4 linked regions of the Callithrix jacchus genome follow. The main gene of each other region encodes a partner of the protein of the gene in region 3 in a complex. Links are inferred from orthologs where the notes say so. Each region holds a gene or a part of one and is shown on either strand. Other genes may lie near its edges. The genes, in order: PTEN, TRPV3, SNTG1 and RPS6KA1.

Evidence for each region.
Region 1: the proteins of SNTG1 (region 3) and PTEN are in contact, whole or in part, in a crystal structure (PDB 7PC7), measured with the Homo sapiens proteins. The link is inferred for Callithrix jacchus from reciprocal best matches to the Homo sapiens genes SNTG1 and PTEN. Residues at the interface, in NP_001274742.1 of Homo sapiens: Gly67, Phe68, Gly69, Leu70, Ser71, Ile72, Lys73, Gly74, Glu77, His78, Ser85, Lys86, Ile87, Ser88, His118, Val122, Leu125, Arg126; in NP_000305.3 of Homo sapiens: Asp395, Gln396, His397, Thr398, Gln399, Ile400, Thr401, Lys402, Val403.
Region 2: the proteins of SNTG1 (region 3) and TRPV3 are in contact, whole or in part, in a crystal structure (PDB 7QQN), measured with the Homo sapiens proteins. The link is inferred for Callithrix jacchus from reciprocal best matches to the Homo sapiens genes SNTG1 and TRPV3. Residues at the interface, in NP_001274742.1 of Homo sapiens: Arg62, Gly66, Gly67, Phe68, Gly69, Leu70, Ser71, Ile72, Lys73, Gly74, His78, Ser85, Lys86, His118, Glu119, Val122, Arg126; in NP_659505.1 of Homo sapiens: Pro786, Glu787, Thr788, Ser789, Val790.
Region 4: the proteins of SNTG1 (region 3) and RPS6KA1 are in contact, whole or in part, in a crystal structure (PDB 7PC8), measured with the Homo sapiens proteins. The link is inferred for Callithrix jacchus from reciprocal best matches to the Homo sapiens genes SNTG1 and RPS6KA1. Residues at the interface, in NP_001274742.1 of Homo sapiens: Gly67, Phe68, Gly69, Leu70, Ser71, Ile72, Lys73, Gly74, His78, Ile80, Ser85, His118, Glu119, Val122, Leu125, Arg126, Arg141; in NP_002944.2 of Homo sapiens: Arg728, Lys729, Leu730, Pro731, Thr733, Thr734, Leu735.

Annotation. Positions count from the first base shown.
Region 1 is NC_133513.1:80,555,229-80,560,227, forward strand, and holds part of PTEN (phosphatidylinositol 3,4,5-trisphosphate 3-phosphatase and dual-specificity protein phosphatase PTEN), read left to right. Parts: intron 1-864; coding exon 865-1,089; intron 1,090-4,999. UniProt on the Homo sapiens protein: Dual-specificity protein phosphatase, dephosphorylating tyrosine-, serine- and threonine-phosphorylated proteins.
Region 2 is NC_133506.1:67,078,736-67,083,734, forward strand, and holds part of TRPV3 (transient receptor potential cation channel subfamily V member 3), read right to left. Parts: intron 3,139-4,999; coding exon 2,962-3,138; intron 1,747-2,961; coding exon 1,588-1,746; intron 898-1,587; coding exon 796-897; intron 1-795. UniProt on the Homo sapiens protein: Non-selective calcium permeant cation channel. It is activated by innocuous (warm) temperatures and shows an increased response at noxious temperatures greater than 39 degrees Celsius. Activation exhibits an outward rectification.
Region 3 is NC_133517.1:3,934,191-3,939,189, forward strand, and holds part of SNTG1 (gamma-1-syntrophin), read right to left. Parts: intron 2,293-4,999; coding exon 2,176-2,292; intron 621-2,175; coding exon 549-620; intron 1-548. UniProt on the Homo sapiens protein: Adapter protein that binds to and probably organizes the subcellular localization of a variety of proteins. May link various receptors to the actin cytoskeleton and the dystrophin glycoprotein complex.
Region 4 is NC_133508.1:63,199,813-63,204,811, reverse strand, and holds part of RPS6KA1 (ribosomal protein S6 kinase alpha-1), read right to left. Parts: intron 4,744-4,999; coding exon 4,663-4,743; intron 4,508-4,662; coding exon 4,428-4,507; intron 3,269-4,427; coding exon 3,162-3,268; intron 2,121-3,161; coding exon 2,083-2,120; intron 1,739-2,082; coding exon 1,596-1,738; intron 1,192-1,595; coding exon 1,121-1,191; intron 179-1,120; coding exon 90-178; intron 1-89. UniProt on the Homo sapiens protein: Serine/threonine-protein kinase that acts downstream of ERK (MAPK1/ERK2 and MAPK3/ERK1) signaling and mediates mitogenic and stress-induced activation of the transcription factors CREB1, ETV1/ER81 and NR4A1/NUR77, regulates translation through RPS6 and EIF4B phosphorylation, and mediates cellular proliferation, survival, and differentiation by modulating mTOR signaling and repressing pro-apoptotic function of BAD and DAPK1.

The sequences.
Region 1 (4,999 bases), on a different chromosome or scaffold from region 3:
AGGAGTTTGAGACCAGCCTGGCCAACAAGGTGCAAAATTCCATTTCTACTAAAAATAGAAAAATTAAGCTGTGCAGGTGGCTCACGCTTGTAATCCCAGCACTTTGGGAGGCCGAGGTGGGCGGATCACGAGGTCAGGAGATTGAGACCATCCTGGCTAACTAAACCCCATCTCTACTAAAAATACAAAAAATTAACTGGGCATGGTGGGGCATGCCTGTAATCCCAGCTACTTGGGAGGCTGAGGCAGGAGAATTGCTTGAACCCCGAGGTGGAGGTTGCAGTGAGCCAAGATTGCGCCGTTGCACTGCAACCAGGACAGTAAGAGTGAAACAACATCTCAAAAAAAAAAAAACCAAACAAACAATGGAGCCTCATGTTTGTATTGCTGTAGAGATAAACATGTATTTGCCGTGCATCATCAGGGAAGTTGCACTTACCTTCCAAGAACTTTTGTTAAGGTAAATCTTGGAATATTTAGCTCTTTTGAAATTCAGAAAAAATTAAATTCATATCTGAATTTTGTTTATATGTATGCACACATAAAACAAAACCATTTTTAAAGCTAGTATTAGATTAGAAAAGAGGTTTTTTGCTTAAAATTTTAAGACAAAAGTAATTTATCTTAGATTTTGCAAGATTATATTTTTGATTTAAAATTTGAGTGACAAAAAATCATGTAACAAAAATGCAACAGAAAACTCAGATTGCCATATAATAGTCTTAGTGTTTACCTTTTTTGAATATATCAAATGATAGTTTATTTTGTTGACTTGTTGGCAAATGTTTAATATGGGTAACATTTTTTTAAAGAGTAAAATATTAAAATAAATAATTTTCTTTCTCTTTTTTTTTTTTTTTTTAGGACAAAATGTTTCACTTTTGGGTAAATACATTCTTCATACCAGGACCAGAAGAAACCTCAGAAAAAGTAGAAAATGGAAGTCTATGTGATCAAGAAATTGATAGCATTTGCAGTATAGAACGTGCAGATAATGACAAGGAATATCTAGTACTTACTTTAACAAAAAATGATCTGGATAAAGCAAATAAAGACAAAGCCAACCGATACTTTTCTCCAAATTTTAAGGTCAGTTAATTAAACATTTTGTAGGGGTTGATGATTTGTGTATATGTGATATGTGTTTAATTCTAGGTGTACAGCTGATAAAGAACTTGCTTGACAAGTTCTTAAATTATGTATTATTTAGAAGCAGTGTTTATGTACCAGTAACATGAAAGTTTTTAATAAAATACCCGATGTACACAGAGTCAGAAAAGCTGCATTTTTCCTTTTCCCAATTCATTGTTGTTGTTTGGTGAAATCTGAAGCAAAGGTACAGGAGGGGGGTTAAATGACTGGGATATGAAGTAGGAATGGAAGAGGAAAGAAATGGATGGAAACTCAGTCATTTGGGAATGATTCATATGGAAGTTTTTACTGCTTCCACTCCTGTCTCCCTTCCAATTTATTCTCAACCCCTGAAAGTGGCCTTAAAAATAGGTTTAATTATGTCACTTCTGTTTTCACTTTATAAAGACCTTGGGTTTTTTGTTTTTTTTACCATGACCTACAAGGACCAGCATAATTTAGCACAGGCCTACCTCCTACATCAGCCCTAGTCACCTTCTCTCCTTGCTTCTTGAGATTCAGACATACTGGTCTCTCTTCAGTTCTGCAAAATGCTAACTTCTGCCTCTAATCTTTCCAGTTCTTTTCCTTCTCCCTGTACCTTTCTATCCCAGCCTTTTCCCTGTCCTTCACATAGCTGTCTTCATATTTCCAGCCTTAGCTTCAATCTCATATCTCTGATTGTCCTCCCCTGTTATGCTTCTTAAAAGATCCTATTTCCTTATTTTGTGTCTTAGAATTATTTGGTTTGTCTCATTTTTGTCTATATGTGATACGTATATTTGTACCTAGGTATATATATCTACTTATAGACAAGAATTCTTCAAATTGAAAAACTCTGATTTGTAAAACATTCCAAAATGGTTATTGGCCATTTTTTTCTTCTGCTTTCCTATTTCTTATTCTACCTGATTTCCCCCTGTCCATTCACCATACTCTTTTCTTTCTCTTTTTTACTCTCGCTCTTAATTTTTCACTCAGTTTTTATAATATGTAACAAATCTATAGCTTCTGAGTATTAAGAATATTGCTAGTAATATTTTGCCTATAATCCTAGCACTTTGTGAGGCTGAGGCGGGTGGATCACTTGAGGCCAAGAGTTTAAAAGGCCAGTATGGTGAAACCCTGTCTGTACTAAAAATACAAACCTTAGCTGGGTGTGTGTCCCACATCTGTAATCCCAGCTACTTGGGAGGCTGAGGCATGAGACTCGCTTAAGCCTGGGAGGCAGAGGTTGCAGCAAGCCGAGATCACGCTGGTGCACTTCAGCCTGGGTGACAGAGTGAGACTCTGTCTCCCCGCCAAAAAAAAAAAATTGCTAGTAATAGTAATACTTAAAAATCAGTAAAGGGGCCCCTACATGTTTTAAGTGAAAATAGATCTAATATTAAATGCCTTTAGCTCTTAAATTTAAGTGTTGAGAAGTTTCCCTTTTTAAAAAAATTTTAATATATAATAATTATACATATTTATGGGATACAGAGTGATATTTTCATGTATGCAGTGTGTGATGATCAAATCAGGGTAATTAGCATATGGATTACCTCAAACATTTGTTATTTTTTTGTGTTGGGAACATTCAAAATTCTATCTTCTAGCTATTTGAAAATAGACAATAAATTATTGTTGACTCGTTACAGTTCTGTAGAACACTATAATTTATTCCTCCTATCTGTAATTTTTAATCTTTTAACCAACATCTTCCTATCCTCCCCTCTCCCTCCCTTCCAAGCCTCTAATAACCACACTCCTATGAGCTCAACTTTTTGAGCTCCCATATGTGAGTGAGAACATGCAGTATTGATCTTTCTGTACCTGACTGATTTTACTTAACATCATTTCCTCCAGGAAAGACATTTTCTTTAAAATCTACAGGTTTCCTTTGTTTTCTCTAAATCTGCATTTTGCTTAACCATTAACCTTTAAACTATCTTTTCCTTCTAGTTTTATTGTTTTCTGTTTTAATATTGCAAGATTTTTATATTTGTGATTACAAATAAAAGCTCTGTTATTAGTAAACAAATACAATGTCATATTGTGGTAAGTGCTATAAAAATAGAGAGAATAATCTTGGTTTGTGTGTTTTTTGTTTTTTAGCTAGGATGATTAGAGAAGGCCCAACCAAGCACATAATATTTAAGCAGAGCCTAAATCATATGAGTGAGTTATGCAAATATCTGGGAAAAGAGGGAAGAGTAGAGATGCAAAAGCCTTTAGGCAAGGAGCTTGGTGTATTTGAAGAGTGGATAAGTCATTTTGACTAAAACAGAGTAGACAAGAAAACCAGTCCATGTGTAAAGATACTTGTGTGTGTTCAGCATAGGAAGGATATAATCTGAATTTTGCATTTAATACTCCCTGTGTTTATGCTTTCAAAATATAGATAAGTGAGGAAAGTAGGGAGAAGGGGTAATAATTAAAGCTGAGAGATAGTTGAGGCACTTGAATAGTTTAGTAAAGGTGAGAGATGATGTTTTCTTCTTGTTGCCCTTCACTGCTTAGAATAGTGGCAGTGAAAGGTAACAAGAAGCTGTCAGATTAACTAAAAGGGTTTACTGATGGAGTGGATGTTGGTTGTAAGAGAAGAATAATTGATAATGACTCTTGGATAATAGGGAGGGGCTGTCAATATAATACAATGAAGAAGGGATTTGAAGTCAGATCTGATTTACATCTCAAATCTACTACCTACTATTTATAGATATGTGGCCTTTAACAAGTTCCCTAACCTTTCTGGGCCTTAGCTACCTCTCCTTGAAAACGGAAATACCTAACATATAGGGTTATTTTGACAGTTATTTTCACTATGCATGTAAAGGCCCTTGGCTCTCTGTTTAGACCACGTTATGAGGTTACTGTCCCTCTCCTTCCTTCCTTTAGGTGAAGTTTTTAGGGCTCATAAATTCTAAATATCAGTGTTGATCAGTAGTTTGTGTGTGTGTAGTGTTTATATCAAAAAATACATTGAAGTCGGGCACAGTGGCTCACGCCTAAAATCCCAACACTTTGGGAGGCCAAGGTAGGCAAATCACCTGAACTAAGGAGTTTGAGACCAGCCTGGGTAACATGGTGAAACCCTGTCTCTCCAAAAAAATATATAAAAAGTAAACTAGCTGGGGGTGGTGGCATGTACCCATAGTCCCAGGTACTTGGAAGGCTGAGGTGGGGGGTCACTTGAGCCTGGGAGTTCGAGGCTGCAGTGAGCTGTGAAGGTGCCACTGCATTCTAGCCTGGGTGACAGAGCAAGACCCTGTCTCAAAAAAAACAAAAAGAAAAAGAAAGAGGAAAAGAAAAAAAAAGAAAAGGAAAGGAAGGAAGGAAAAGAAAAAAGAAGAGAGGGAAGGAAGGAATTGATTTTTAGGTAACTAGTAAGAGAAACATTCTTTTTGAACTTAGCCATTTGTGAATTGAATTTTATAATTGAAAGGCTATATTATGTAAACTATTGATAGCTTTCAATCTTCATTTATTTTGTAGAATTATTTAGTTAATGTTTGCAGCTTATATTCTTTAAAAAATAAATTGAGGCCAGGCATGGTGGCTCATACCTGTAATCGTAGCACTTTGGTGGTTGAGGCAGGTAGATTGCCTGAGCTCAGGAGGTTGAGGCCGGTATGGGCAATATGGTGAAACCCCATCTCTACTAAAATACAAAAAATTAGCTGGGTTTGGTGGTGCACACCTGTAGTCCCAGCTGTTCAGGAGGCTGAGGCACGAGAATTGCTTGAAGCCAGGAGGCAGAGGTTGCAGTGAGCCAAGATCATGCCACTACACTCCAGCCTGGGCAACAGAGCAAGACTTTGTCTCCAGAAATAAAAACAAATAAATAAATAATATTAACATCCTGATAGTCTATTAGTATGTTAAT
Region 2 (4,999 bases), on a different chromosome or scaffold from region 3:
CTGGCCCCAGATAAAATTCACCTCCCTTCCTCTGAACACTGACCTGAACCCAGCTTAGGGTCTTGTTTGGTCTACTGTCAAGTCTTGATATTTGTGCTCATACTATATCCCCCACCAGGCTATGAACTCAAAGATGGTAAACTTGTCCCATCCCTATCACCTCCTCCAGGGCCACACATATATAGGTGTTCAGATTATATGTGTTGATTCATTGAATGGATGAATGGATGGATGGACAGATGGACGGACGGACAGACAAATGGATGAATGGATGGATGGATGGACAGATGGACGGACGGACAAATGGATGGATGGATGGATGGATGGAGGGAGAGATGGATGGACAGACAAATGGATGGATAGATGGATGGAGGGAGGGAGGGAGGGAGGGATGGAGGGAGGGATGGATGGAGAGATGGAAAGATGGTTGGATGAAGGATAGAAGGATGGTCGGTAAGGATGAGTGGGCATGTGAACGAATGAATGAGTGGCTTGTTCCACGAAAGAGAGCAGGTGATTGGATGGGTGATGCTGGTGGAGAGGAGGATGGACATTGAGGGGCTGGGAGGGTAAATGGTGGAGAGTTGGGCAGATGGATAGAGAAGTAGATGGATGGAGTAGGGAGGATAGGCCAGCTTTATTCATTTGTTCCAACTCAGAGAGCTAAGGCTTGGGAAGGAAATGCCTCCCCAAAGCTCCCCAGCTGTAATGGCAGAGCAGACAGGGATGAAGCCCAGGCCCACTGCCGCCTGCCCGCCTTAAGGGACGGTACAGAAGGGCCGAGTGGCCACTCACCTCTTTCACAGAGATGCACGTGGCCCAGATGAGCACAAACATCCTCCCCAAGAGCTGCAGCCACCCCATCTTGTGGGTCAGGGCCAAGGGGTGCGGGAGGGCCTGGGAGGAAGGAGGAAGGGTGGTCAGAATAGGGAGGAAGAAGGGCTGAGCTGGCCCCAACACTAGAGCAGCCGAAACACAGGAAAAACGCTCAAGCCAGGTCAGAGGCCAGCGTGAAACCCCATCTCTGTACAGGTCAAGAGAAGGAAGAGCCACTCCCTGATCCCCACCCTCCCCACCCTTGATGGAAGCCCAGATCTCTACAACAAGGAGTATCATCCAATCCGTGCTAAGCACCCTCATGCTCTACTCCAACAGCCTTTCCAGAACCCTCTGTATCCAAACACTCAACATGGCCTCACAGCACAGTTAATAAAGCCGAGGCTCCGTGCCCCATGTGACGGATGGGAAACCGAGGCCCAGCAGGCAGGGAGTGCTTAGCCCCCTCCCATTTCCTGCAGCCCTCACAGCAGAAATACCCGACCAGTTCTGTATTTAGACAGAGACCCTGGGCTGAGCCTGAGTCTCTGAATTCTCCAACTTCCCCCAACATGGGTCTACCTGGGACTCAGCACCTGGGCCTTAGCCCAGCCAAACACTGGAGACAAACTCAGTTCCCTAGAAAGTGTGAAGGACGACTGGGGGCCCACCCAAATCCCCTGGCCTCCCTGGGGCTCAGTTTCCCCGTCTGCACGTGGGGCAGCTCCAGCTGTGACCACCCACTCTTCCCCCTGCAAGGGGCCCACATACCTCCTCCTCCCGGGGTCGGTAGTATGAGACGAGGGTCAGGGTGATGTTGTAGGAGAAGTAGAAGCAGAAGGACAGAAAGAACATGTACTGGGCAAACTTCTTCCACTTCATTCGCAGCAGCGTGTGCAGCGGCTCCAGAGTCAGCATCTCGTGCCGGTTCTGCGGGGGAAGGCCAGCAGTCACATGGAGGCGAGGGAGGAGGGGGCACCGAGTTCAAAAGGCCGGTGGGAGCTCCCAGTCAGCGTCGCCCTGGGGGAAGGGGCCATGATTACGCCCAGTGGACTGGTTTGGCTGGAAATGCTGGGAGGGTGATGACGGCTCCTGAGGCTCCTCCCCAGGGTGCTTGGGCAGCAAAGGCCGCCAGAGCCCGGGTTTTAGCAGGAGGACCCGAAGCACAGCAGAAAGTGAAGGCTAGAAGTGGGCAGGAGGTGGTGACAGCAGTTCCAGCCCCAATTTGCCCCTCATTCGCTGTGTGACCTCGGGACAGCCTGACCCTCTCTGGGCCTCAGACTCCTCACCTATACAACTGCGAACAATCCCTGTCCTGCCAGCCAGGCTGCTGTGAGGCGCTGGGAAGACCCAAGGCCAGGAGACTCTGAGAAGCACAACTCTTGGTAAAACATGAAGGAGGAATGTTTTGCTGCCCCGCTTCCCCCAAAAGCTGAACACGCTTCACCTGTTAGAGTGGACAGGTGCTCCTGTTCACAGGAGGACAGTGTCCGATGCCTGTCTCACCAGACCCAGGGGATTCCCATCCCATCAGTCAGGAGAGCCCAGGCAGAGAGCTCCTAGGGATAAGGCCAAGTCTCTATATCCCGCACCCCAGCCTATAAACCCTATAAAAGCCCCAGGACAGTGGCCAACCTGGGCAGCATCCAGCTGCTCCTCTCTTCACCTTCATTTGCACCAAACTCTTCCTGCTAGCCTTCTCCAGGAAGGCCCCCCTGATTTCTCCAGCAGTGCACTCTCTGACCCTCATTTGGGACAAGTTTTTGGGAGAGAAAGCATTCTAAGCCTGGTCATATACAGCAACAGGGGATAGGAGAGACAAAATATGTAAAGGATCAGCCCCAACCACCCTTTCGCCCACACCCACACTCACACCCACATCCACACCGCCCTGGATACTGGGTCCAGAAGACCCCCCCAATCACCACCACTCAGGTCTACAGTCCAAGGTCAACCAGGAAGAGTTGGGCCCAGCATCTGTCCCAGGCCTCCCCTTCTGTGTCTGACTCTGCCCACTAAGGCAAAGGAGCGTGGGAGGCAGACATGGCGGGGAGGGCTGGGAGCACTGGGTCTTCCCAGCGTCTGTGAGCCCCTGGCCTGAGGCCCAGCCCTCGGTGCCCTGCCCAGCCTTCCCGAGAGACCCACGTCGATGTTGGTGTTGTAGACAGTGATTTCCAGCACTGAGTTGTCTGTGGTGGTGTCCACGTTGGTGAGGTCGTACAGGGAGGACGACACAGGTCCGTACGCCCAGTCCGTGAACTTCCTGGACAGGCTTCGGAGCCGCTTCTCCTTGATTTCACGACTCAGGATGTACTTCAGGATCTAGGACAGGATGAGGCACAGCCGTCAGCTGCAGAACAGGGGCTGTGGCTAGCAGGGCTGGGCCAGCCAGAGGCAGGCTGGGCCCAGGACAGGTGGAGACCTGCCTTTGCGCCTGGCACGGTGGCCCCGGGGCCCCATCTTTATCTGTGGAACATGCATGAAGCTTGCCATTGTGCCCATCTCATGGGAGGTTGTGAATACCAGGGAAAAAGGTGTGAAGGTTCTGTGCAGGCTGCAGCAAGCTGCACAATCAGCTCGAAATCCTCACACCAGCTGCAGCCCCGGTTCAGTGAAAAATGGAGGCGCTGATGATTTCTTAGAACCAGTTTCCATTTGTTCTGGACTTGAGAAGAAGCCAGAAGTTTTCCCAGCTGCCCCCAGCCCACCCTTAGCCAAGACCCCTCCAGCTGTGGCTCACCACTCTGGCCAGATGGGCGGTGACGATAGGCACCACCCCCTACAGGGAGGCCCATGGGACATTGGTAGGTTAGTGATCTTCGAAACTCTGCTCCGTATTAGGGTCACTGGGAAACAGAAATTCCCATAGCTCACGCCTGCAATCCCAGCACTTTGGGAGGCTGAGGCAGGTGGGTCACTTGAGGTCAGGAGTTCGAGACCAGCCTGGCCAACATGATGAAACCCCATCTCTACCAAAAATATAAAAATAAACTGGGCATGGTGGTGCATGCCTATAATCACAGACTCAGGAGGCTGAAGCAGGAGAATCACTTGAACCTGGGAGACGGAGGTTGCCGCGAGCCGAGATCACACCACTTCACTCCAGCCTGGGCGATGAAGTGAGACTGTCTCAAAAAAAGCCACACGCAGCAGCTCATACCTGTAATCCCAGAACTTTGGGACGCCAAGGCAGGAGGATCACAAGGTCAAGAGATGGAGACCATCCTGGCTAACATGGCAAAACCCCGTCTCCACTAAAAATACAAAAATTAGCTGAGCATGGTGGTGCACACCTTAGTCCCAGCTACTCCGGAAGGCTGAGGCAGGTGAATCACCTGAACCCAGGAGACGGGGGTTGCAGTGAGCCGAGATCGAGCCACTGCACTCTAGCCTGGCAACAGAGCAAGACTCTGTCTCAAAAAAACAAAAACAAAAACAAAAAAAACCCCACAGCATCAGTTAATGAACTGGAAATCTCTAGGGTGGGATCTGGAGTCTATTTTTCAAAGCTTCCTGGGTGAATCCAAGTGCAGGGATCAGATTTTGGATGCAGAGCTGCTGCTCTCTGGCTTCTTACCTCCTGAAAGGTGAGCCCTGGGTCACCCCAGGATGGGGACATGGGCTTCCTAGGGCACCAACTCAAGACCCAAGAGGAAGGGACTGCTGGGAAGGACAGCGTCCAAGGCCTGGTCTCAGCTGACCCAGGGGGTTCCATCCCGTCTGTCATGAGAGCCCAGCCAGAGAGCTCCTAGGGATAAGGCCAAGTCTCTCTGTCCCGCACCCCAGCCTGTAAAAGCCCAAGGACGGTGGGCAACCTGGGCAGCATCCAGAAAAGTTTTCTGGAGGACATGGAACAGAGGAGGGGAGCAGCGGACAGGTGCCTCCCCCAGGCTGGCCACAGCGGGCACACTGTGAGCCTAGAGAACAAGGGCTCCTGGGGCCATGCTTCATGCAGGAAGCCTCCTCCCTGGGCTGGGGCGGCAGGCACAGCACACACCACAGTGGCACACAGGGAAGCTGGCCTTGGAGAAAGCTCCATCTGCAACCACAAGCTGACTCCTCAAAGCCTCGGCAAACTGTGGCCCTGAGGGTGGGCAGAAGTCGCGGGGAGGCAGCCACACAATCCCTCCTCTGTTGAAGCCTTTTTCCAGCTCCTCCTCCCCCACGGGAGAATAAAAAGGGC
Region 3 (4,999 bases):
TGATCCTGTGGATGGCATGAAGTTCAACTGATATATGACAATCGTATGCTCTTTCACATACACAAAAAATGGGCCAGCGTGAGATTAAGAGCAAAACAACAAAACTTTGCTTTTATCTTTATCTTTTCTACATTTTCTAATTCCAGGTCTTACCGAAATCTTTGTTTTTTTTTGCATTTTATTGAGAAAAAAAAAGAATTAAAAAATAGTGGTAACAACTGACATTTAAATTCAAGCTACTTTCAACCAAACTTTCTTAACTTTCTTCTTCCTCGGTGAACTCCTGCAGAGCTTGTCCCTCTTCCCTCACCCATGGCGGGACTACAGAGTCTGCTTGCTAGTTATTTAAGCAGATAGCTGAGTGCCAGTGCATGTCTGTGCATCTGCATTTTCTTTTCTGTGTCTAGTTTTTTCTTTCTCTTTAATTTGTCTTTATCTCGTCTCTTCTTTCATTCCATAAATCATTTGCTTTGTGAGCTACTTATGAACCCAGAGGCACTATTCCCTGAAGAAAAGCCATTCAAATACTGACTCATTACTGACCATACCTTGAGGATCTTGCACATAATCTCATAAACTGAGAATGTTTTCTCTGCTCTTGTCCAGTCCCAGGTGGTTACCTTAAGAGATAAGAAAATAATGTGTAATTTGTTTGAGAAAGTTATTTACCACTCTATTTGATTTGCATACATATGGTGAAAAATAAGCAAAACTTTCAGAGATGTGTCTATTTAGTCTCTCATCTGTGAAGCTATGTTCATAAAGGACCCTACATAATACTCTTGTTTCCTCTATTCCAAGGTTTGTCACCGTTTGTCTCATGCTTTCAGCAAACCATTTATGTGCAACAGTTCTCATTTGCCCAGTGTCCTTAGGAATCTCAAATAATGTATATATTCTCTACCTATAAATACTAAATATTTACATTCCACAAACAAATAATTTTTTTTCTCTATTTACCAGTTAAATACAGAGAATACTAGAGCTCAACACAGCTCTATTTTTTTAAATATACGTAATTTATATTAAGAAATTCAGGATGACTGTGACATTGCAAACACACTGAATGCGCAATGCAGTTATTTCACTCACTCAGGTTAGAAACATAGATTTACTTGTCTTGTCAAAGAAATTATTCGGAGTAGGAATAGACTAAAATACATAAATATTAATTTTTCCCAGTCGTCCTAGTGCTTTAAACTCTGTGTAGACACAGACATTTAAAACAGCAGCAAGTCAGACCTGATGATTTCTAAATCCTATGTATCATTAAACCCGCAAGAGACTGGTCTGCCATGTGCTATTTATATTCAATAAATATTTATTGAGTGTTTTCTGAGCTGCAAAGAACCTGTTTCCCAAAGCAAGACTTGAGGTCCAGTAGGTATCTATACATATTTAATACAATCTCAGTAACTCTAACATAGAGTATAACAGAAGATAAAAGTGCTATTGATTTTACCTAGAGAGACCTGTACAACATAGATAAATATAGTCTGACTGTCATAAATGATAGCTTACCAGAATGTATTTGTGATGTTTGCCAAGTGTGGAATCCCCTATTTTAAACGAACAACCTGAGAGTTAACATCATCTTATGGAATTACCACTAGAGTGAGATTTAATAACAGCTAGACAAGATGCTATCATTTTGAGATATCCTATTATTCTTTGCTAATAATAAATTACTAGTAATTTAAAGTACTGAATACATTTTTAAACACTTTCGAAAGATCCTTTGAAAATAAGTTTAGTAAACATGTTCATTCACGTAGAGCTCTAAAACAGTTTACTCTTTTTTATTCCACTTCTGATATATTAATTTCTTTAGCTTCTATTCAATGAACAAAATACACTGACATATGCTTGAAAATGCTTCTTAAAATCTCCTTTCCCATGTCTTCATGGGATTTTTAACAGCATTTCAATTTGATCCATTATTTTATAGGTTCACCAATTATAAATAACTAATTTCCAGACTTTCCCAGGGTGATAAAGCAAATGTTTAATGTCAGAAAATATATTTTTAGTAAATTAAATCAGATAAACTGGTTTCTATTTTTTCTCTATCATATTTTTAAAAATATTGATAGTATACTATTGGATGTTGTTACGTTGGTGTCAGTCTGTTGTGATAATATGGAAAAGACCAGTACATTTCGATAAAACGCTTACTGGAGGTGCCAGAAACTTGTACAGACACGAGCCCCGTAGGGCCAGGAAGGTCGGGGAATACACTCTGTCCTGAAGGGGGTCTTGCTCCCGGGCCTCACACCAGCCCATGTAGACAATCTGCAAGAAAATGGAATACAATTGACTGTCAAAAACTTTTTATTTTAGATATTTTATGTCTAAAAGATATTTAGATATAAATATCAAAAATACTTTAGATATTTTTCATGCAGTATTATAACCTCACATGAAATTATCACATTGATAGATGCAATAAAGTACATTAAACAAGATTTATCTTCAGTAAATGAATGTAAATCACTCATGAGAATTTCTTATCTGTTTCCATCAGCATTTATCCAGGGTTTATTTATACCATCCAACCTACCATGGATTGTATTTCCCACTCTACCAATTCTTACAGAAAAAGGTTTATTTGTAATAGAATTCATTGATGGATCCCACCTGTTTACCCATCACTGACATTTTATTAACTGGGAATCTGCTTCAATACACAATGTTAAAGTGAGCAAGGGAAGCAGGTCAGAGAGACATCTGTGGCATTACCACGAGGGAGGTGCCGCACTTCTCCACTGTGCCTGCCAGGCGAGAATTACAACTGTCCCCCTTTAACCCCTGATTTCCCATGAATACAATTTATGCTAGTCTATTCCTATATTGAGTGGCATTAAAACTAACTCCTTAGCCGCTAGCACTTAAATCTAGGTGGATCGATTTCCAGATGAAGATTTTGTGAGATAAGCCACTCCTCTGTTTATGATCTGATTTTTGTAAGAGTCAAACATATACATAAACACTTAATAAATCATTAATGACATTTCTAACAACATATTCATGTGGCATTCCATTTCTTTCTCATCACAGCTCTATGTGCAAGGCTGTATGCCCCACTTTATATGATTTATATTGGCTTTATGGTTGGCAGAGGTAATTGCCCGCCCTAAACATTTTTTTCTTTTTGTTTTTTGTCTCCTAAGACCTTCTATCATCAATAGAATGTTAATGAACATGATACAAATTGAGTTAGTTTAGTGTCTCATGCTTTTGCCATTACCATGAAAAGCTCATACCTAGGATAGGAACAACACAGCAGACCAGAGCCCAGCTTAACAGCAGGACCAAGCCCAGCTAGCTTCATGCTGGTGGCTAACCACAAACAGTTCACTTTCAGAGAGAAAGAAATACTTATTGTTGTATTTCAGCTAGAATGGGGGTGGGTTGTTGTCCAGCATTAATGTGGTAACAACTGGCAGATAACAATGCAAGAATTTGACATGCAAGTTTTGGAATATTACTATTGTCTATTCACAGATCCCATCTTCTTTCTATAAATTATATTTACCCTCTAAAATACTTAGACTGTTCACCATCTCATTATCTCAGTTTGTCTTACAATAAGGCTCTGAGCTATAAAGTCCTTGAATTAATATATTAAGGGATTGTGAGTTAAATTAATTAGCTTAACAAATGAATGAAACTTGGTACAAGTTAGAATTTGAATTTGAACCAAGATGGCTTGCTCTTCTAATTATCTAATGTATTCTGTAATCTTTTAGATTGCTGACATATGCATTACACAGAGACTTCATGGTTAATAATAACATAATAAGAACCAGCTATAATAACTGATGATTTTGTATTGCGTATATGATCAGATAACATGACAGTTTTGAAAGAGTAAATGAGTGTAATAGATAACCATCCCATAAAGAGAAGGATGACTTGCTTTAATAAATATTCAATGTGTCAAAATAATTACACGAGTTAAAAATGAAAGCATATGACAGTTTACCCTTCCAGCACTTGCATACTAGAGAATATCGACAACCTACCATCTAGTGTTACCTTAGGAAACTGGAAAAAATATGCTTAACGCACTAGATATTTTATAGGGTATTAAAGAACAACCAGGAAAAAATTACAGTAATATGAAAATTGACAGAGGTTAATCATTGATACAAATGTGGGATCGGTTTTTGCCGTGTAACCACTTCCTATACAGAAATGTCACATGAGGCACTCAGCTACACTGGGGAATCTTACAGGTTTGGAACAAAATATTAAAGTCCAGGATTCTCCACGTGTGAAGGTCTTAGTAAACATGCTCTGCTTTTAGTTAGGACCAGAATAATAACGTCCTAATAACAAAGTTAAAGCAGAAGTCATCAAGCCCTTGCAAAGACTGGAGCTCAGATTTGAGCCACTGAAATGATGCAGAGAATGTCAGGCTTGAAATGGTTTATGATGATCCTGGAGTTCTCTCTGGCTCCTGACTAAAGAAAATGGAAATCCTTTCTGGATGACAATAATATTACATGTGTCAATAGATTTTCATAAGAATCGTCTCTTGGAACAGAATAAAAATAACCAAGGATATAAGGAAATAAAACTTCATAAAGTTCATCAGGAGAAAACCATGAATAAAAACAACAGACAGCAGAACTGAATATTTAGGCCTTTCAGATATGGAAATTTTCTAATACAGACATTAATTTAACTAGGTTTGCTATGTATAAGAACAAAAGATACAAGATTGAAACTTTCATCAGTGTACATCTGAGATAATAGATTATAAAGCATTCCCATTAGAAATTAGACAAATATATATAAAACATACAGTTGGGTTTAACAACATATTTAAAAAACAGCTAAAGAAATAATTAGTGAATAGAAAGATGGCTCAGTAAAAAATATCTAGAATAATGATTGGAGAGACAAAATTTGGGAAAACATACACGAGAATAAGAGAAAAAGGTGTTACAGTGAGAGACATAAACTTCCAGGTTGAGTCCCAACCCAAGCACAG
Region 4 (4,999 bases), on a different chromosome or scaffold from region 3:
TTCAGCCCAGATGTGGCCCCGTGGCCTAGGCTGCAGCTGTACCCAGCTCCCCACCGCCACATCCCCTCCCCTGAGCTGGGGCTACTTACCGAGCCGGTTGGCAGGATTCCGCTTGAACAGGGCCCGCAGGAGGCTCTGGGCTTCAGTGCTCAGAAACTGGGGCATGCCTAACTTCGCCCTGAAACAGCCCCCGGGACTCATCAGGGCTGAGCCCCACCCCAGAGGCCCCATCTTCCCCCAGCCCTGTCCAGGCCCAGTTCCCAGCTCAGTCTAGACAAGCCATCCGCTAATTTACTTCCCACAGAATTCAGGGAGCCCACCCACAGGCCCCCATGGAGGAAAGAGGGGCTCTGGAAGTTATCATCTTTTTTGTTTTTTGTTTTTGGAGATGGAGTCTCACTCTGTAGCCCAGGCTGGAGTACAAGTGGCGCAATCTCAGCTCACCGCAACCTCCACCTCCCGGGTCCCAGTTCAAGCAATTATCTTGCCTCAGCCTCATGAGTAGCTGGGATTACAGGCATGTGCCACCTGTAATGCCCAGGTAATTTTTGTATTTTTAGTAGAGACGGGGTTTCACCATGTTGGCCAGGCTGGTCTTAAACTCCTAACCTTGTGATCCGCCTGCCTCAGCCTCCTAAAGTGCTGGGATTACAGGCGGGAGCCACTGCGCCCATCCTGGAAGGTGTAATATTTAATCCAGAGGAGTGTCTCATTAGTGAGGGAATCTGAGGCAGGGACAGGGTAATATTCTGACCCCGACTGGGCCGCTTGGGAGAGTCTATTGTTGTTTGTTTTTTTTTTGAAACAGAGTTTCACTCGTTACCCAGGCTGGAGTGCAATGGCCCGATCTCGACTCACCGCAACCTCCACCTCCTGGGCTCAAGCAATTCTCTTGCCTCAGCCTCCCGAGTAGCTGGGACTACAGACGTGTACCACCATGCCCAGCTAATTTTTGTATTTTTAGTAGAGACAGGGTTTCACCATGTTGACCAGGATGGTCTCGATCTCTTGACCTCGTGATCCACCCGCCTGCAGCCTCCCAAAGTGCTGGGATTATAGGCGTGAGCCACTGCGCCCGGCCAGGAGAGTCCATTGTTATCAGGGCAGGGCTGGGGCTTACTTCAGAATCAATGTCATGGTCTCCTTCCGGTCCTTCCCCTGGAAGGGCAGGGAGCCCGTCAGCATCTCAAACTGCAGAGGACAAGGGTCTATTTAGGCGCTGATCCCTGACTCCCCCACACCTCCCACCTCCTCCCATCTAGGCCCCTCTGCCCTAGTCCCAGGATCATCCAAGTCCACCTGGAGCAAGAATTATGTCTGTCCCTCTTGCCTCAACAACCAGACCACCAGGTAGGTGCAGCAGTGGGGGCACGAGGCTGGGGAGAAGCCCAGCACTGAGTTAGGCGTGTCCCAGATGGGGTCAAGCCTGGGATCCTTCCAAGAAAGAAAACTGCAGCTGCGTGTAGGGTGAGGCCAGCATGGCTGTGAGAGGAGACGAGGAAAGCCCTAGAGATGATCAACCCCCTCACTGTACAGACGGGGAGACTGAGGCCAGAGGCTTGGGTGGGATCCTTTATCCCTGTCTGGGCACTCACCATCAATACCCCATAGGACCACCAATCCGCACTGTGGGAGTGGCCCTGGCGGTTGACGACCTCGGGGGCCATGTACTCCACTGTCCCGCAGAAGGAGTAGGCCTTCTTCTCGTGGTCAATGGCCTCCTTGCTCAGGCCAAAGTCTACAGCAAGGAGGGCAGGAGGACACATCTCAGGATCCCTGCCTTCCTTGCTGACACCCATTGCACACCCAACCCCTGTGCCCAGAGGCTGGAAGGCATAACCCTCATGACACTCAGGAGGAAGCTAAGGCCCTGAGAGGTCAGGTGACTTCCCCAACGTTACACAATGAGGGGCTGAGATTCCAACCGAGGGTGTTCCAAGTCTGAGGCCTGGGTTTCTGACCACTTCCAAGTAACTGGCACAGCCTCTCGGGAAGAATGAGCCCCCAGCACTCAGCCCAGACCTATCAGGACCTTGTTCTGCCCTCCCCTGGGGCCCAAAAGGGCAGGCGTCCTCCACTCACCAGTGAGTTTGATGTGACCCTCCTCATCCAGAAGGATGCTGTAATAGAGGAATGGGGGTCAGGGCCCCTCAGCTGTGGCCACTGTGTGGGTGGTGGTGTCACCACAGGGCTGTGGGAGCTGGGCTCAGCCCAGAGGAGCTGCTCCGCCCAGTTCTCCCCGATGACCGGGTGGGTGTTGCAGGGTGATGGCAGTGTCATGCAGGTATGTTGCCTATCATTTTTGCTAATTCTTGAAACAACTGTGTGAGGTAGGTACTATTAGGGCTCCATTTTGCAAATGAGGAAACTAGGGCTCAGGGCAGTTAAGTAGCTCTACAGTCATGGAGCTGGTAAGTCTAGCTAGTAGGTGGAGACAGGATTTGAATACAGGGCTGCCTAACACTAAAGCCAGATCTTATTCCCCAACTCACCACCTGCCCCTGGCTCCTTAGTTATCATTTAACTATATATATATACAGACACACACACTTTTTTTTTTGAGACAGAGTTTCACTCTTGTTGTCCAGGCTGGAGTGCAATGGCACAATCTCAGCTCACCACAACCTCCACCTCCCAGGTTCAAGTGATTCTCCTGCCTTAGCCTCCCGTGTAGCTGGGATTATAGGCATGTGCCACCACGCCTAGCTAATTTTATATTTTTTGTAGAGACAGGGTTTCTCCATGTTGGTCAGGCTGGTCTCAAACTCCTGACCTCAGCTGATCTGCCTGCCTCAGCCTCCCAAAGTGCTGGGATTACAGGCATGAGCCACTGCACCTGGCCAAGGATAGTTAGCTATTAGGGAAAATTCTAGAGGGTTATATCAAGGAAAGACCTTTAAAGGTAGCAGCATCTCAGATGTCACACTAAATTAGCAAAAAAGGTGGGAAACATACCTGCTTGGAATGTACCTGGCCCTTGGTAATGATAGCATTAGTGACTGGGCAGCTGCCACTACCACCCACCCCACTCACCCATTCCTCAGATTGCCCAAGAGAGGGGGACGTTCCTGGAGAAAGCCATGTCCACCCACCTCAGGATGGCCCTGTTCTAGAAGAGGCCTCCCCTGGGGAGACTGGGTGGGGATGGAGGCTTCACTCACTTCTCAGGCTTGAGGTCTCTGTAAATGATACCCAGGCTGTGCAGGTGGTCCAGGCCCAGGGCCAGCTCGGCCAGGTAAAACTTCACATCCTCTTCTGTGAACATCACCTGCAACAGACAGGAGGGGGCTTCAGCAGAGACCTCCTTTTCCTTAAAAGCTGGGCACTGGGTAGTCAGCAGCTTCCTGGTCCTGAGGGGCCACCCTGGGAGGACCCAGGCCATTTAGCCTTCTTGTCGCAAGAGGATTTGAAATATGAAATGACTAAGCTGCAAGTCACTCATTGTGGCATTGTTCAGAAATAGAAAGGGCTGGAAAAGCGGGAATAAGCTGTCTCTCCTGCATAATGGAGTGCTTTGCAGCCATTACCTAGAACAAAGATTTTCTCCATGTCCTGATATGGAGCGAGCTCCAAGATATACTATCTTGAAAAAAATCAAGGTACAGAACAATGTATATAGAATAGTACTTTTTACGTAAGAAAGTGGGGGTAGGAATTCAGAACATATATCGAATTTGTTTGCAAAAGAAACATGGGAAGGTTAAACAAGAAACCAATAAAAAGCTCAGCACAGTGGCTCACACCTGTAATCCCAGCACTTTGGGAGGCCAAGGCGGGTGGATCACCTGAGGTCAGTTCGAGACCGGCCTGACCAACATGGAGAAACCCTGTCTCTATTAAAAAAAAAAAAAAGAAACCAATAAAAAAAATGTTTACCTATGGATGAGGATAGAGGGGCTGGGGTGGGAGGAAGACTTCTTCATGAATATTTTTTTATTTTGAATCATATAGATTACCTATTCACACATTAAAATAACAATTTAAAACTTTTTTAAAAGTTGGGTTCTCTTCAAAGTCTGAATTGTATGAATGGTCTCATTTTCTAGCTCAAATCCTTTTCTACTGGTTCAAAATCCTTTTGGATGACATGTGGGACATGACTGCTAGAGTCTCTGGCTCTCTGGGTGACTTTGGGCTTCTCCTCAATCTTCACAGCTCTGTCCAGAGCAGCCCTGGAAGAATGCACGTGCTTAGGTGAGAGGAAACCTTAGCTCCCCAGAGTTTTGTTGGGAGAAACTCTCAGTGGCCCTGCCAGCATATGGCCTCCATCCCAGGGTGAGTGGTATTTCCTAGGCCAGGGGCTGCTAGGCAGGCCTGGGTGGTTCCAGGTTCAGGCCATATTGAACACATTCTGTACAGGGCCCTGGATGGGCCTTGTCGTTCCCCAGCTCTATCCCGGGGCTCTTTGGCAGTAGATGTCAGCTCACCTCTTTTGAGAGCCGTGTGAAGAGGTCCCCACCACGCAAGAAGTCCAGAATGAGATAAAGCTTGCCCTCGGTCTGGAAGGCTGGGGAGAGGGAAAAAGGCAATGGTAGAGTCAGTGGGACCTTGTGACCTGCTCCTCCAGCCCGGTCTCCCTTGGCCTGCCAGGCAGGCGGTGGGACAGTGTACAGACCCACAGGCAAGGGTGAAGGATGAGTGGGATGGGGCCTGCAGCTTTACCATAGTGCAGCTTCACCACAAATGGGTGGTTTACATCAGCCAGGATGTCTCTCTCCATCTTGGTCCGAACGCGGTCACGTACTGAATAGACAAGAAAGGAAGTCACCAGGAAGCTAGACACTCAACACAGCCACTCCCAAGTCCCTACTAAGGGCTCTCTTTTCCACTTGTTCCTCCACATCTGAGCTCCTAAGGCCCCTTCACTCAGGGCTTTGGGGACACTCAATCCTCAGGTTTCTTCCTTCCTTCCCAGGAGCCAGGTAGGCTCTTTGCCCCCACCCCTCACAGCAGTGCCCACAGCTGGGGCCTTGGAGCCCGGCCCATTGCTCTGGTCCCT